Elephas maximus indicus: one gene and its partner. The protein of the gene in region 1 interacts with the protein of each later gene in a pairwise test. Links are inferred from orthologs where the notes say so. Each region holds a gene or a part of one and is shown in the gene's direction. Other genes may lie near its edges.

The links. The genes of interacting proteins can lie anywhere in the genome.
Region 2: the proteins of TRIM39 (region 1) and UBTD2 interact in a two-hybrid assay, tested with the Homo sapiens proteins (2 studies listed by BioGRID and IntAct). The link is inferred for Elephas maximus indicus from reciprocal best matches to the Homo sapiens genes TRIM39 and UBTD2.

The regions. Positions count from the first base shown.
Region 1 is NC_064819.1:90,747,129-90,755,421, forward strand, and holds the start of TRIM39 (E3 ubiquitin-protein ligase TRIM39), read left to right. Parts: upstream 1-4,623; 5' UTR 4,624-4,708; intron 4,709-6,778; 5' UTR 6,779-6,785; coding exon 6,786-7,238; intron 7,239-8,269; coding exon 8,270-8,293.
Region 2 is NC_064820.1:191,267,110-191,275,556, reverse strand, and holds the start of UBTD2 (ubiquitin domain-containing protein 2), read left to right. Parts: upstream 1-4,942; 5' UTR 4,943-5,087; coding exon 5,088-5,157; exon of another isoform or gene 5,158-7,296; coding exon of another isoform or gene 7,297-7,306; intron 7,307-8,447.

The DNA.
Region 1 (8,293 bases):
GCAACAATAAAGAACAATGATGAATCTGCAAAACATCTCACAACATGGGTGAATCCGGAGAGCATTATGCTGAGTGGAATAAATCAGTAACAAAAGGTGAAATATTGTATGAGACCACTATTATAAGAACTCAAGAAAAGGATTACAAACAGAAAAAAACATTCTTTGATGGTTACAAGAGTGAGGAGGGAGAGGGAGAGGAAATCACTAACTAGATAGTAGACAACTGTCAACTTTATAACATACAATATAGGGAAGTCAGCAAAACTTGACCAAGGCAAAGACACAGAAATTTCCTAGACACATCCAAACACCTCGAGGTACTGAGCTGCTAGGGCTGGGGACCATTGTCCTGGGGCACATCTAGGTCAATTGGCATACATAGTTCATAAAGAAAATGTTCTACATCCTACTTTGGTGAGTAGCGTCTTAAAACTTTGCGAGCGACCATCTAAGATACATCTATTGGTCCCATCCTGTCCAAACAAAGGAAAACCAAAGACACAAGGAAAATATTAGCCCAAAGTACTAAAGGATCACATAAGCCAGAGCCTCCACCAGCCTGGGCCCAGAAAACTAGATGGTGCCCGGCTATCACCACCAACCATGCTGACAGAGATCACAACACAGTCCCAGACAGAACAGGAGAAAAATGTAGAACAATACTCAAATTCATGAAAAAAGACCAGACTTACTGGTCAGAGAGAGACTGGAGGAACCCCTGAAACTATGGCCCCAGGACACTCTGCTAACTCAGAACTGAAACTACTCCCAAAGCTCACTTTTCAAACAAGGATTAGACATGCCTGTAAAACAATAATACATGTGAGTAAAGTGCTTCTTAGTTCAATCCAATATACGAGACCAAATGGGCAACGAGAAGGCAGGAAGGGAGAGGAATTGGACGAATGGACACAGAGAACCCAGGGTGAAAAGGGGGAGCAGAGGGACAGCATGCTGTCACATTGTGGTGATTGCAACCAATGTCACAAAACAATATGTGTATAAATTTTTGAATGAGAAACTAACTTAAGCTGTAAACTTTCATCTAAAGCTCAATAAAGTTAAAAAAAAAAAAAAGAAAGAAATGCCCATCTACTGACAAAAGGTTGAAAAATTATAGTACATGCAGAACAAGACCTATTATGCAACCAATAAAAGTACAAATCAAAAGTATTAGTAAAATTTTTTTAAATATCAAAAAGATCAGCATTGGCTCCCCTGTAGAGAAACACTCTCTTATAATATCCTAGTGTGGGTATAAGCAGGTACACTATAGAGGAACAAAACTATGAAAATTTAAAATTTCCATGCCATTGACACAGCAATCTACCTTCCAGGAATTTGTCCTACAAATATAATGGCGTGACAATCTAAAGACAGATGTGCAAGGATGTTCACTGCAGCCTTTCTTATAAGAAGAGGACTTGGAAAGGACTTAAATGTCCACTAGTAATAAAATGATGGAATAAATTATATGTCTACACAATGAAGTAATAACACAAACTTAAAAATAATAAGGTCATTCTATATGGCTGAACTGGAAAGATAAAAGACAGCCAGGATATACCAAGTATAAAGAGCAGGCTGAAGACTGTTCTTCCTGTATGTTTGTAAATGTTTATAATAAAAAAGTGATGGAGGAAAATTAGATGCTTTTTCTGAATGAGCATCTCAGAAGTTCGCACAGTTGAACCCTGTCTCCGCTAGCCTACCGTTTATCTGACCTCTACTGTTTTCTGACCTACACTGCTAACATAGCCATTTTCTCTACTTGACTCAGCGGTTTCTCAAGATCTCTTCTCTTCTTTTCTGGAATAAATATTTAAAAACATATTTTAAAAACAAAATTTTAAATTACCCTCTTTTCTATTATGATAATTCATGCCTTAATACTCTTGTGGTGGAAATCCCTTGGTATAAATCAACATAAAAACCCAATGTTATTTCACCTCTTGTGAACTACAACCCCTTTTAAGAAAGGAATACCCTTGTTTAAAGAATGCACTTGTATCCTAGTACACTCATAAGTCTCAGAAGACCAAGTTTCACGAGGTCATAACAAATAGTGTTAAGATCTCAGATTCACTTTATTACCATTTGTGTATTATAAAAAGTGTATTATACAGACATGAAAATAAGAGATCACAGCACCGTGTTCACCCTAATTCTCAATTCTCTCTTCAAAATTACTGCGCACTTATTATTCCACACCAGGCTACAGTCTGCCACCTGTTTTTCTACGGCCTAAAAGGTAAGAAAATTTTTTACATTTTTAAATGGTTAGGGAAAAAAAAATCAAAAGGAGAGTAATATCTCATGATACATGAAAATTACATGAAATTCAAGTTTCAGGATCCACAAAATTGTATTGGAACACACCTATTTAGCATTTTGTAATGCTGTTTTCCAGTTATAAAGACAGAGTTTAGTGGCAACAAACACCACATAGGCCTCAAAGCCAAAAATATGTCCTACCCAGCTTTTTACAGATAGCTTGGCAACCCTTGTTCTGTGCCATACTTCATGCCCTTTATATTTTATAGTTTTACCTACTCATTTCCCTCACTTTCCCTCGTTACTTAGCGTTAAGTCCCCTTAATAATCTGCTAGTCTCCAGGCAAGCAAATTCTTCAGTCTTGGAGAAGCAGTCCCTCCTGGGAACTTCTTTATAATCTAACCCACATTCCTAGTCCTTACAAACAGCAAGCCAGATAGAAGTGCTATTAACACCTTAAAAGTTACAATTAACAAATCAAAACCAGAGCAACTCTCACCAGCATCACTCTCCCTCCAAAAGAGGCTAAAGAGGCTGGTCCTCCAGCAACTCTCCCTTACAGTTGAGGTGTTTTGCAAATGGGACCAAGTACTGCTGCTAAAATAAGATCCGTAAGGATCAAATAGTAATGAGAAAAAAATGTTACTACAGGTAGTCCCCACCTTAAGACCGGGTTCAGATGACTGTCATAAGACGGTTCTGACATAAATCGAATTACCTTTTTTTTTTAGTTTCATTATTGCCTTTTATTATCAGTACAGTAACTTTTAAAACCAAATCTTCATTTGTCTTTGGGGGTTGGAAACGTTACATATAAACATCTGCAAGTGAACATCTAGGATGAAAACATCAGCAAACAACGTGTTGTAGCATTGTATACAGTGCATTTTACAAACAAGATATTAAAAAAAAAAAAAAGGAAGCGAGGCGTTGTTAAGTGCGGCTTTTCCTAACTCCAATCAGGGACTACCTGTAAATGTAATTTTCTCGTTTTCCTTCAAATCTTTGGCTACCGAAAAAAGTGAAAAGCAAAGGAACAATAAGAAAAAAGCAGACCAACTGGATTTAGCATGTGAGATCCTAAATATTTATACCTCGCTCATTTGATCATATTTTCTGCAAGTAAAAAATTCCTGGCTGTCAGGATGAGAGCTTAAATATTGCACGGTGTTTGTAAACAGCATCACAACTTACACTTGGGGCTAGCTGGTGGCATTTCCTCTCCAAGACGGAGGGTACAAACTGCTTTCTTTTCTACCAGCAGTCTCATACTCCACCTAGCACTAACTCCTCGACCGTTCCAGCCCCTCTACCCAGCACCTACTCCTCCCCTCCCCCATCACACCTCTACCCAGAGGACTCCTCCCCAGCCCTATCACACCTCTCTAGCCAGCGCCTACTCCTCCGGAAGGAGTCCTCCCCCAGACCCATCACACCTCTACCCAGCAGACTCCTCCTCAGCCCCATCACCTCACCCCCTTCCTCCAAAGTCACGTGCCTGCGGAGCTTCCAACTGCAGGAGAAAGGAAGGCTAAAATGCAAAGCCTGGAGTCCCCGAACAAGCGGAGAAACGCAAATCACAGTCCCAGACGTGCAAAGAACGGGCACTGGGTCTCATCAAGTTAACTAGAGTTTACGGAGCGTTTGCATCGGTCGGCCCCGAGCGAGGAGCTGAGGATAAAAAAGTGAACAGCAGAGACTTGGTACCACCGCTGTCTGGACTCTCATTCTAGCGACAGAAGCAGATCATTTCGACAAACCCAACAAAGCAGGGGCTGGACGAAGAGCTTTTGAAGCACTCGGCTTAGAGAACTCAAAAGACTGACTCTCAACCAGTCGGAAGTGACGTCCTAGCAGAGACCTGCAGGTCCGCCACGTAACTGGACGCCACCTCAACTAGCACTTTCTCCCGGACTGGCTTAAAGAGAGGAAAAGTGTGGCTGGACCACACCAACCTGCCCTTGCCCTACCGTTCCTGACCCCCCCCCCAAGGACCCACCAAGCCAGACCAAAGCCCGGGCCGCAGCCTGGACGGGAGAGCTGTTCCTGCCCCGGATCCCGTCCGGCGCCCTGCGGACAATGGGCTTCAGGATTCAACCATGCGCATGCGCGACCCTTTTTCTCCAGCGGATTCTTCTGGTCACCTGGACGCCGGCATCTCAGCCAACTGCCCCTCAGGGTCCCTTTACGCCCTTGACGCCTCCTGCCGGGTCTCACCTACGGCCCCATTCCTCCTTCTTCCGCAGGGACCGCTAAGCCCTCACGCGACCGCCTCCAGCCACCCGACTTCGACAGGAGCCTCTCCGCGCGGCGCGGCTTCCGCTTCCGGCGAGTATTGTGTGTCGCGCTGCGGGGCGGGGGGAGGAGGAAGGAGGGAGGCAGCGCTCCGGTGGCTCCGCGCCCCGCACTCCCGGACCCGAAGCCGGGAAGGTAGGTGCCGTCCCGCCGCCGCGCCCGTGCCCCGGGGCCTGTCCCGGCCGGCCGGCTCCGCCTGCCGCGTCCTAGTGACCCGCGACTGCGTCACCGGCCCCCTGCACGTAACTACAGCTGCCTCCGCCCGCCTCAGGCCCGGGCGGACGTTTTGCCGCCCCGGCGACGTCAGCGCGTCCGGCGTTGCTTGGCTACCCCGCCGTTCCCCCGTCCCGCTGCCGCTCGCCTCCCGCGGTGAAACTGAGCCGTCACCGCCGATCTCGGCTGCGTCATAGCGGCCGGCATCCCACCTTAACGTCACACCTCCAAACCTAGACACGCGTCCTTCCTTCCCCTGCCAGGCACGACGTTTCTTCACCCCACTCTCCAATCTCTTGCGCCAGATCTGGCGGGAGAAGATGGAGACGGGGGTGGGACAGAGTTGTGGACAGCGCTCAGGAGAGGGTTGCAAGATGGGACCTTGGACAGTGGTAGAAACACAATGAGGACGTCCCTGAAGTTTGCCCTTCCACTGAAACACGAGGAATAGAGAGAGGGGAAGGACTAACCCACAGGCAAGCGAGGCCTCAGGCGAGCTCTGAGTCCTCTCCATATTTCCCAGACCCTTTATCCATCTGTCTTTCACACCACTGTTCCGTTTTCTTTGCCAGTCTAGGTCTGTCCTGGCCCTTAACTGCATGTAATTCAACTCACTTCAGGTGAGAAGGCCACTTAGTTTCCAAGAAGATTGGGGAAAGGGCAGGTCACCAGTCAAAATTGGATTCCCGTGGTTAGAGAAAACTCATCTGACAGAACTCATCTAACGTTGGGGGGAAAATTCTAGTTCAGTTAAGTTATTGAGTCCCTATTCCAAATTAAACACTGTCGTATGTACTGTCAGTATATCAAAACCAAACCTGTTGCCGCTGAGTTGATTCCAACTCATAGCAACCCTGTATAATTGTTAATAGTTGTTAGCCCAATTCATTTCATGGCCACATCTATCTCAGCACATAGATCTGCTGAATTTCCTTCCTTCCATTGGATCCCTCGGGGTGATGGATGTGCAGTGTGGATATAGGGATAAACAAATGAACTTAACTTCTGGATAAAAGTGTTGCCATTCTACGGATGGAGTAGGGGACCAGCCTTCTGCTTTATAAATCTCTTTGCTGCATTTCCAGTTCTTTTGAGGCATCACTTGAGGGAGATTTTGATTGCCTATTTACTTTCTTTCTCTTAATCCCCAACCACTCCAGAACCTATTAGTTGAAGACACAGTATGTCCAGGGAATTAATTATGAATAGCTATCTTGAAAGACTGCAGTCATTGCTCAATATTTACAGTAGACTTATCAGCCCTCTTTTTAAAAGGTTATTGGTTTGAACTCAATAACGTACCCTTTAGTATAGTTGCCATAAATTTATCATTTTTCAGCAGTTCCAACTGTCCAAATGCCCACAAATAGAAGTGGGATGTTGTGTGAGTCATTTCATTTCAAGAATTTTCTCTAGGCTAGTCTGATAAAAGAATAATTTCAAACTTTCCTTTAAAAAGGAGATTGTTACCCTCACCTAACCCATTCCATTTATTACCCTTTGAAAGAATGAGAGAAGAGTGTCAGGGAATCAAGATTAGGCTTTATTAATACTTTGACTTTTATGGCAGTTTGCAGTTTCTCAAACTCCTTTCTCATCTATAAGAAAAATATATCAAGCTGGGGATACATTGGTCTGGAACTAATTGGTTCTAAGATACAAATGGGATGAACCTGATTAGGAGTATATTGGGCTAAGGTAGGAAGAAACCTCTGTTTTTAACAAGAGAAAGCAGACGGGAAATATTGAGGGATGAGTGTCAGTTTGCTGAAGAGGGGGAAAAAAAGATTAGGTTGATAGTTGGGAGTAAAATTTGGAAATGGAGAAAGAAAAGAGAGGTTGAATCAAGTGGGGGGAAAGATGGAGAATACCAAGATGGGTTAAAAGTGGGTGTAGGGTTTAATATGAGAGTAAATGTCAGGCCAGGGATGCAAGAAAATTAAACCTCCAACTAATATTTTTCTTTTCTCTGCCCCTCCTCCTATCCCCAAGTTAAATAATGGCAGAGACGGGTCTGTTAGAGGCTGGGGCCTCTGCAGCATCCACAGCTGCAGCTCTGGAGAACTTACAGGTGGAGGCAAGCTGCTCTGTGTGCCTGGAGTACCTGAAGGAGCCTGTCATCATTGAGTGTGGGCACAACTTCTGCAAAGCTTGCATCACACGCTGGTGGGAGGACCTGGAGAGGGACTTCCCTTGTCCTGTGTGTCGAAAAACGTCCCGCTACCGCAGTCTCCGACCCAATCGGCAACTAGGCAGCATGGTAGAAATTGCCAAGCAGCTCCAGGCTGTCAAGAGGAAGATCCGGGATGAGAGCCTCTGCCCCCAGCACCATGAGGCCCTCAACCTCTTCTGCTATGAGGACCAGGAGCCTGTATGTTTGATATGTGCAATTTCCCACACACACCGAGTCCACACCGTCGTGCCGCTGGACGATGCCACACAGGAGTACAAGGTGGGGAACCAGATGCATGATACCAACATGGGGAAAGAGGGCGAAGCAGCGGTGGATGGGAGACTCCCTGAGTAGAGGATTATAAATTCCTTGAGAGCAAGACTGCATCTGGTCTTCACTCTGTGATCCTCTCAGAGCTACACACACTGGGGGCCCAAGGTACTCCTGATCAACTCAATTATCCTCAAGTATGAAGAGCAGTGGTATGGAGGATCCAGAATTATACTCTTGACTTTTGCAACACATTTGAGTCTTAAGTGTGAATGTCTGTATGTGTGATCTTGGGACGTGTTATATTTTTCATAAATGAATGAAACCACATGGAGAAGATCTAACTTAGGAAGAATTGAACAGTGGTCTGGTTTCCTCGTTCTCTCCCCTTGCTCAGAATACCCCTTATTTCCCATGTATTCGGAGTAGGTAATACCACTTCTTTAGACTGATAATCCCCAGTCCATGCTGAACTAGTCTGTTGTTTGCATCTTCTCTAGTAATGGATAACATAGCATCTGGTATAACTTGCTCCTGGGACATGGTAGATATTTGAGTTATGGGAATTAGAGATTTCATTGTCTTAGCATGTTGTCACTTACTTTGCTAAATAATGTTGGAAACAAGATTTGAGGTAATTTACAGTATAAGCAATGAAGATTTTATTATTTTTATAGGTGGTCAGAGTTGGATGGAAGGACAGGTTTAAAGAAGGATACCAGGGTACAGAAGGTCACTTTGACAGCAATAGGCAGTTACATACTGTAAGAAAATGGACAGGATTGGGGAAGGACACAGAGGTTGGTGCCTGTTGGAAAGCTACGAGAGTGAGAAGAAAGTTGGGTGAGCAGAGATAACTTGGATAGGTTGGTGGCAGAAGGGACCAGTAAGAAATTGACACCCAAATGACAGGCAAGTAAGGGAGTTGGATCAAGTGATGGTGAGATGGGTAATAAGCAAACAAATGGATTGACCTCTGAATGAAGCATGTGCTAGCCAACCCCGATTGTTACCTTCCCACTGCCTCCCCCTCCCCTCAGGAAAAGCTACAGAAGTGCCTGGAC
Region 2 (8,447 bases), on another chromosome or scaffold:
AGTTAACCTACATATTCAACGCGTTCCCTATCAAAATCCCAGCTGCCTTTTTTTGCATAAGTTGGCAAGCTGATTCTAAAATTCATGTGAAAATGTTAGAGACCCAGAATAGCCGAAACAATCTTGAAAGAGAACAAAGTTCAAGGACTCACACTTCCCAATTTCAAAATTTACTACAAAATGACAGTAATCAAAACAGTATGATGCTGGCATAAAGACAGATATAAAGATCAAAGGAACAGAATTGAGAGTCCAGAAATAAACCCTCAAATTTATGATCAGTTGATTCTGAGCACAGGTGCCAATACAATTCAATTGAGAAAGAATAGTCTTTTCAACAAATGGTGCTGGGACAACTGGATATACACATGCATAAGGCTGAAGCTGGATCCTTACCTCATACCATATAAAAAAATTAACTAAAGATGGATCAAAAACTTAAACATAAGAGCAAAAGTTATAAAACTCTTAGAGGAAAACACAGGAATAATTCTCCACGACTCGGGTTTTAGACAATGATTTCTCAACTATGTATCCAAAAGCAAAAGCAATAAAAGAAAAAAAAAATAGATAAATCAGATTTCATCAAAATTAAAAACTTGTGCTGCAAAGGACACTATCAAGAAAGTGAAAAGACATCCCAGAGTAGGAGAAAATATTACAAACCATATATCTAATAGGAGTCTTTACCTAGAATACACAAAGAACTCTTAAAACTCAACGATAAGTATTTTTAAATGGGCAAAGGATCCAGATAGACATTTCTCCAAAAAGGATATATGAATGGCTAATAAGCAGACAGAAAGGTGCTCAACATCATTGGTCATTAGGAAAATGCAAATAAAAACTACACTGAGGTACTACCTCACACCCACTAGGATGATTGTAATAAAAAAGATAGAGAATAACAAGTGTTGGTGCGGATGTAGAGAAACTGGACTGCTCATACATTGCTGGGAGTAAGGTAAAACAGTGTAGCTGCTTTGGAAAACAGTGTGGCAGTTCCTCAAAATGTTAAACTTTAGAGTTACCATATGACCCACCAATTCCTCTCCTAGGTATATACCCAAGACAACTGAAAACATATATCCACACATAAACTTGCACACAAATGTTCATAGCAGCGTTATTCATAATAGCGGAAGCAACTCAAAGGTCCATCAACTAATTAACGGATAAATAAAATGTGGCATAGCCATACAGTTGAATATTACTCCATTTATGGTTATAAAAAGAACTTATAGATGGTACAACATGGTTGAACCCTGAAAACACGCAAAGTGAAAGAAGCCAGTCACAAAAGGCTACACTGTATGATTCCATTTATATGAAATGTCCAGAATAGGCAGAACCATAGAGAGAGAAATAGACTAGTGTTTGCCTTGGACTGGGGAGAGATGAGTATGGGGTTTCTTTTGGGATGACGCAAACGTTCTAAAATTGATTGTGGTAATGGTTGCACAACTTTGTGAATATATTAAACACCACTGAATTATATCACTTTATAAGTCAGTGAATTATATGGTATGTGAATTATATCTCAATAAAGCTGTTATTAAAAAAACAGACACACACAAGAAAGCACTGGCTCTACGGGAACATGTTAAGTGGATTGGGCCGTGCTGGGAAGTTTAGATCGATAATGCTAGACATGATACAGACAGGACAGTTAATAAAGAGCCCCACAGAGCTATTATTATTGACCTTGCTTTATAGGTGAGAAAACTGAGCTCTATAGAAATTTAAGGTCACATAGCTAGTACATAATGGAACCTGGATCCCAACCCAGGAAGTTTTAAAGCAGAGCCTGGTCCTTTCACTGCTGTACTACTGTGCTTCCTAGAAACATGTCTCTCTGCTTTAAGATGAAGACAGGGTGGAGAACATTCGTAGCTGTGAATCTGTAAAATGGATGAGACTGCTCTCTTTCCTAGTGCCAACTCCACGGCGCTCATCAGAAAGCACTTATCGCTTGGTTGCCTACCATCTGTTTAATAGACATCGTAGAAGTCAGCCTTGGTTTCTGCAATTTCTGAAGCAAAATTCAGGATAAAGCAGTCTCTTTGAAAAGATTTAGCTTGCAGCTTCTCTCCTTCAGGGAAGTGATGTCTGTCTGCCAACGTGAATACTCAGCTGAGAATGATCAGATAGAAGTCTTTGTGGAACAGTTTCTGAATCTCACGAGCCACCCTGAAAACTCATAAAAACATCGATTGTGTGTAATTTCTTTTTGAAGATTCATGGCTACAGTTGAAAAAAAAAAAATTTTTTTTTTTTTTGGACAATGCTAATTCTTCAGTAAAAGTTTAATACAGCAGACTTCTATTTTTCACAAGACATTTGTGCTTCAATATAAATGTAGAGGCCTGTGTGTTGTGTATGTTTAACCCTTATTTTTATCTGATTAGCAAATGAATACAAGGACCTAAATCTTTGTCTGCATTTTGGACTCTTCCTGTGAGCTGGCTTCCCAGATGTGGAATAATCCCAAGTCAAAGGTATGAACATATTTAAGGCTCTTGATCCACATTGCCAAATTGCTTTGCAAAAAGATTGAACCAATTACACTCCCACCAGCAGTATATGAGAATATATTTAAATGCAAATTCCAACTGCAGTGTCTTTTCTTAGGTATTTCACTTAAAAAAATGTTGCTTTTTTTTTTTTAAATGCTAAGCAAAAGCTGACCCAGGATGTTAAAAAAAGAAAGTCTGAAAGAAAAATGGAGCAGATAGTTAAAACAGCTCTTAGATATAAGCTTTACAAAGGCCCAAACATGAAGATAACCATGTTGTTAGATGCCCTCGAGTCAGTTCTGACTCATAGCCACCCTAGGTACAACAGAATGAAGCACTGCCTGATCTTGTACCATCCTCACAACCATTCCTATGTTTGAGCCCATTGTTGCAGCCACTGATTGTCAACCCATCTCGTTGAGGGTCTTCCTCTTTTTTGACGACCCTCTACTTTATCAAGCACGATGTCCTTCTGCAGGGATTAATCCCTCCTGATAACAGGTCCAAAGTAGTCTAGAAGAAGTCTTGCCATCCCCGCTTCTAAGCAGCATTCTGGCTGTACTTCTTCCAAGACAGATTTGTTCGTTCTTCTGGCAGCCCTTGGTAAATTCAATATTCTTCGCCAACACCATAATTCAAAGGCATCAATTCTTCTTCCATTTTCCTTATTCACTGTCAAGTTTTCATATGGATATGAGGTTACTGAAAACACCACGGGTTGGGTCAGGCACACCTTAGTCCTCAAAGTGACATCTTGGCTTTTTAATAGTTTAAAAGAGTTCCTCTGCAGCAGATTTGTCCAATGCAATATGTTGTTTGATTTCTTGATTGCTGCATCCATGGGTGTTTATTGTGGATCCAAGTAAAATGAAATCCCTGGCAACTTCAATCTTTTCTCCATTTATCACGATGTTGCTTATTGGCCCAGTTGTGTGGATTTTTGTTTTATGTTGAGGTGTAATCCATACTGAAGGCTGTGGTCTTTGATCTCCATCATAAGTGCTTCAAGTCCTCTTCACTTTCATCAAGCAAGGTTGTGTCCTACGCATATCGCACTTTGTTAATGACACATCATAACTCACTACCTTAGAGCCGATCCCGATAGAGACCCTAAAAAACAGAGGAGAACTGCCCCGGAGGGTTCCCAAGGCTGTAATGTTCAGGAAACAGATTGCCATCTTTAGGAAAGCAGACTGCCACGTCTTTCTCCCGTGCATCGGCTGGTGAATTCCAACTGCTGACGTTTGAGTTGGCAGCCGAGCGCTTAACCACTGCACTGCCAGGACTCCTTCAATGAGGCATCAAAGGAAGCACAATTCTGTAGGGGCCATTAACAATTTGGCTTAGATTGGAAGAGCAAAGGCCAAGAATGTGGGGTGTGGTCAATGGACCACATTCTAGTTTTAAAAACGCAGGCTAATTTTATTTATACTCCACGTTGCTCTAACAACTACTTAAGGTACCTAAAGGCAGGATCTGGAGAAGCAGTACTGTGTCTTCACAATCATCCCTGTGAAAATGAAACAAACCCACGCCCCCTGAACTGTGGTCAGTCTTATCTCTCCCCACACGGGATGCCCCACCTCGGTAATCTGAGTCCAGTCTGCAATCATAGTGACAGCCTCCCTCTCCGACTCTAATACGGGGACACAGTGATTTAAGGGGGGGGTGTAGGGATACGGACGGTAAGTGGAAGCCCAGACTTGAGATACCAACCCAACTGAACTCTACACGATTCCAAAAGGTGCTGGGACCTCAGCATTGAGCCAGAAAACCGCCCCTCCCTCCAGCTATTTGGGAAATCGCCAGCCCTCATCTGCGAGTCTTCCATTATTTTCTGTGGCCCACTCCCGACCCGCTTCTACCAGAAAGATAAAGAGCAGACGTCCGAGAAGCCAGAAACTCGACTTTGTTCTCATTTCTCACGTTTGTTCATCCTTTCCTGCTACATCTCTCTTCCCCCCTTTCCTGTCCTCTTCCCGTCTTCCTTCTCTCCCCCTTTCCCTTCCTCTTTTCCTGGGACTGATCCCCCTTCGCCTCTTTCTCTCCCCTTCCACACCCCTCGCAGCCTCCCGCAGCCAATCAGAGCGCAGGCCTCCCGAGGCCACGCCCCCTCCCGGCCGTTCCGGGCGGGCCAGGCAGAGCCCAGGCCGCGGAGCTGGAGGGCGGCGCCGCGGGGCGGGGAACCGATGGGGCCTGGCGGACGGGCGGCGTCGGCGCGGGGGTCGCCCGGACGCACGCGTGCGGGGCTGTGAGGGAGCGAGTCGGGCGCTGGGGCCCGCCCGGGATGGGCCAGCCCCGGCCTGGCGGGACCGAGCCGGAGGCGAGGGCGGCGCGCGGGCCAGGCCTGGCGGGCGGACGGCCGGGAGGCTGAGGTAGAAGTGGGCGCGGAGGAAGGGGCCGAGCTAAGGCGGTGGGTGGAGCGGCGAGGGGGGCGGAGGCTGGGCCGCGACGGGCGAGCGGAGCGGCGCGCCTGTCCGGAGCTCGGCGGCGTCGGCGCCGGAGGAGGCTGAGGCGGCGGCGGGCCCGGACGAGCGCCCGGAGGTGGCGGACGAGGCGCCGGGTGCCCCCATGGGCGGGTGTGTGGGCGCCCAGCACGACTCCTCGGGCAGCCTCAACGAGAACTCGGAAGGCACCGGAGGTAGGTGAGCGCCAGGGGGCAGCCTCGGCCCCCCATTGTTCCCGGCCAGGCCCGGCCACCTGTCCCGACCCCCTGCCGGCCCGCGGGCGGCGCAGCCGGGGCCCCCGCGCCCCTTTGTCATCCCCTCGTGCACGTCACTCCCCGCGTCCCGCTTCCGGCTGCCCCACCGGCCTCGGGGGTTGCCCCCTTTCCTCCGCAGCCCCGGGGAAAAGTCTGCGCGTGGAGATGCAGCCCCGGGCCTCGCCGACCCCACCGCCTCGGCTCGGAAAACTCGGACCAGAAACTGCCTTTCTGGCCACCTCGCTCCGTCTCCAGCCCGTTTAATTATTCAGGAACAGGATGGCGGCGCTGGGGTTGCAGAAAAGCGAATTGATGGGGCGGAGGGGGGAGGGGGCGGGGAGCCTGATGCCTTCCCTCCGACTGGCCCCGCCACATCTCTCCGCACCCTTCCTTGTTCAGCAGAGTTGGCCGGTCTCAGCTTTCCTGAGTTTCAGATGACAGCTGCCCTGGTTGGTTCCAGTTTGGCCATTTAAACCTGCAAGTTTCTGGAGCTCGACTGGGGAAGTCTCAAGTGGCCACAGGCATTATTTTAAGGAGGAGAGAGGAAACGATCTGCCCGAGTAAAACGTGGCTTTTCTTGCAACAGGATGGAGTTTTCGGGCCAGTTTGCTGTCGGGGTGGGCTACTCAAATTCCGATCAGTGTTACGTAAAGGAAAATATGTAGGATAAAAGTGCAGATGCATAAGAGTCTGACTTAACCGAGTAGGACCAGTACTTTTAAATTAAATTTTCGAACACGGAACGCACTTCTACTTTCTTGTAAACAGCAGTTGGCAGGGGAGAGGTGTTTTAATTCAATCGGTGTTGTCGTATGGGATGTCATAATACAATTCATTTCACCAGTACTCGAGCTAAGTAATCTTTTGCCGTGTTCATGCTGTGATTAGTAGAGGTTAGAATGCTTTAATTAAAGAATAAACAGCTGCTCAGGGGTGGCAAAGATAACAAAGGTTTTGTACGGACTCGATGTTAGATGTCTCAGAATAACGAGCTGTATAGAGAGAAGTTCCTAAACTAAATTGACGAGGGTGAGAGGGTGTACAACTTTTTCTTAACATACTGACATTTAGATCAGTTGCTTGTCCAGTCACTTAAAAAAAGTTGTCTGTAAATCGTATGCACTTAGATTTAAGCCGATGAGTTTCCTGAACTACTGGATGTGACTTTTAGCCATGCCACTTTGTTAAAATCTGTGAGTATCCGTATGACTAAATCCTGAGCGAATAATTTGAGAGCTCAGTGAAGGGTGTCTTGGAAAAAAAAAAAAGTTCGTGAAAACACTATAGTGCATTTCATGTCGTTGCATTATTTTTTGGTGACACATTAACAACTAGATCCTCAGTAGCAAACAGGAAAATAAAAGGGTCCTGATTTAAAACAGCCTTGGGTCAAATTGGCGTCAAAAAAGTTCTTCCTCCTTGAGGTGATCATTAATTGTTCTGAAACCTATTAGTATTTGTTATAGGCAGTATTTAGTTTTAATTAAAAATATTTTCTTAACACTCTAGTTTAAAATTCTACCCAGTTTTTCTTCCCTTAGTAATGAACTTGAACCAATTTATTTAAACCTTTTGTTAGTGTGATTTAAGACCAGCCAAACATTATTTGCATGGGCTTTTAATAGTATGAAGCCTTAGATTTGGGTAATATATTACCAACAATGTCCACTTACATAGCTATAGTGTCAGTATCTTGGAGGGCTGAGTTCTTGGGAAGGAAAGCTATGCTCCACTTTTCTGAAGTAAAGTTTGGGAAAAGACACATTAATCATCAGCCAATCTCTTTGTTTTCTTCTGGAGAGAGGGGTGACCCTGGGGGAGGGGCTGTGTGAGATAAAGTGGTTAATTTTGGAATTTAATTATGGAAGCCTTTATTTTCTGTTACTGTCATGATAACCCAAACCAAACCCGTTGTCGTCAAGTCGATTCCAACCGTAGTGACCCTACAGGACAGAGTAGAACTGCCCCAGAGGATTTCCCAGGAGCGCCTGATGGATTCGAACTGCCGGCCTTTCAGTTAGCAGATGTGGCTCTTAACCACTATGTCACCAGAGTTTTGAGAGTTAATTGTTTAAAAGAATGAGCTCAGGTGAGTGTTCCAGGTTAACATATTATGTTAAGTAGTTCTTGCGTACTATATAGAATGTTTTTGTTGGGAAAAGGCAGACTTTTTCCTAAGGGTGTTAGCACAGAGCTTTAGCTTTTCAAGCATAACAAACATGGTTAGTAGTTTTAATCTGGATGTAACAGGTTATGACAATTCTATCAACAAGGAGTAAAATATATTTTTCAGATGCTTTTCATGAAAGATTTAAAATGGTAAAAATTTGGATGCTTCCTGTGTATTGATCATGTGACTCATTTTACAATTGGTTAAACCCTTTCTGAATATCAGCCAGTCTTAGTTAAAAAAATTACTGTTTTTTTTTTTTTGTTAACCTTTTTGGCCAGTTGAAATAGTGTAGTTTCCTTTTGGATCCAAGTCTGTTATATATGCAAATGATCAAGTGTAGATTGTGAAAAGCTTCCTTATTAGCTGGATTACTTTGAAAGAATGGGGGAAATTTTTGCAGGAGACTGTTGAATATGGAGATGGCTTAATTCAAATGATAAGATTTGTGTTATCTATTATTTTGGAATCATTTGTAGTATCTTCTCCTGGCATAACTTGCCTAGAATTCAGTTTTTGAATTTCAGCTACTTTGAGCATTTTTTAAATGCCTAATTTTAGCCAAAACAGGTATATAGCAGAGAGGTTATGCAAGATTATTTAACAGCTCTCTCCAAGCTATCATGCTTCTAGGTTTCCAGTTATTTTGATATATTTAGATGGCGTATTCTGGGTGGCTCTCTACCTTATGATGATGACATTGCGATGCTGGAGTTTGCACTTAGGACCTCTAGAGGAGGCTTTAGCCCATGGCATTTGCTGAGGAATTAGGTCCCTTATGATTTTTTATAAAATGAAAAAAACAAAATTAAATAGTCGAATACAGCCAACTAGGTTCTTTTCTCACTTTGTTCACCTCTTTAAGGAAGGTGTAGTAATGTGCAAAGTAGGTTCTCTGTTTTCTGGGTGTATCATTCATTCTGTACATTCAGTGATATCCCAGGTGGACTGATTCTGGTGGTCACAAGTTTCCAGGCTCACAGGTGGATAAGGTAATGCTGAATGCTGGACCTTGATTTCTTTAGTCTTTATTTTTGAATATCTTGGGAACATCATGGAG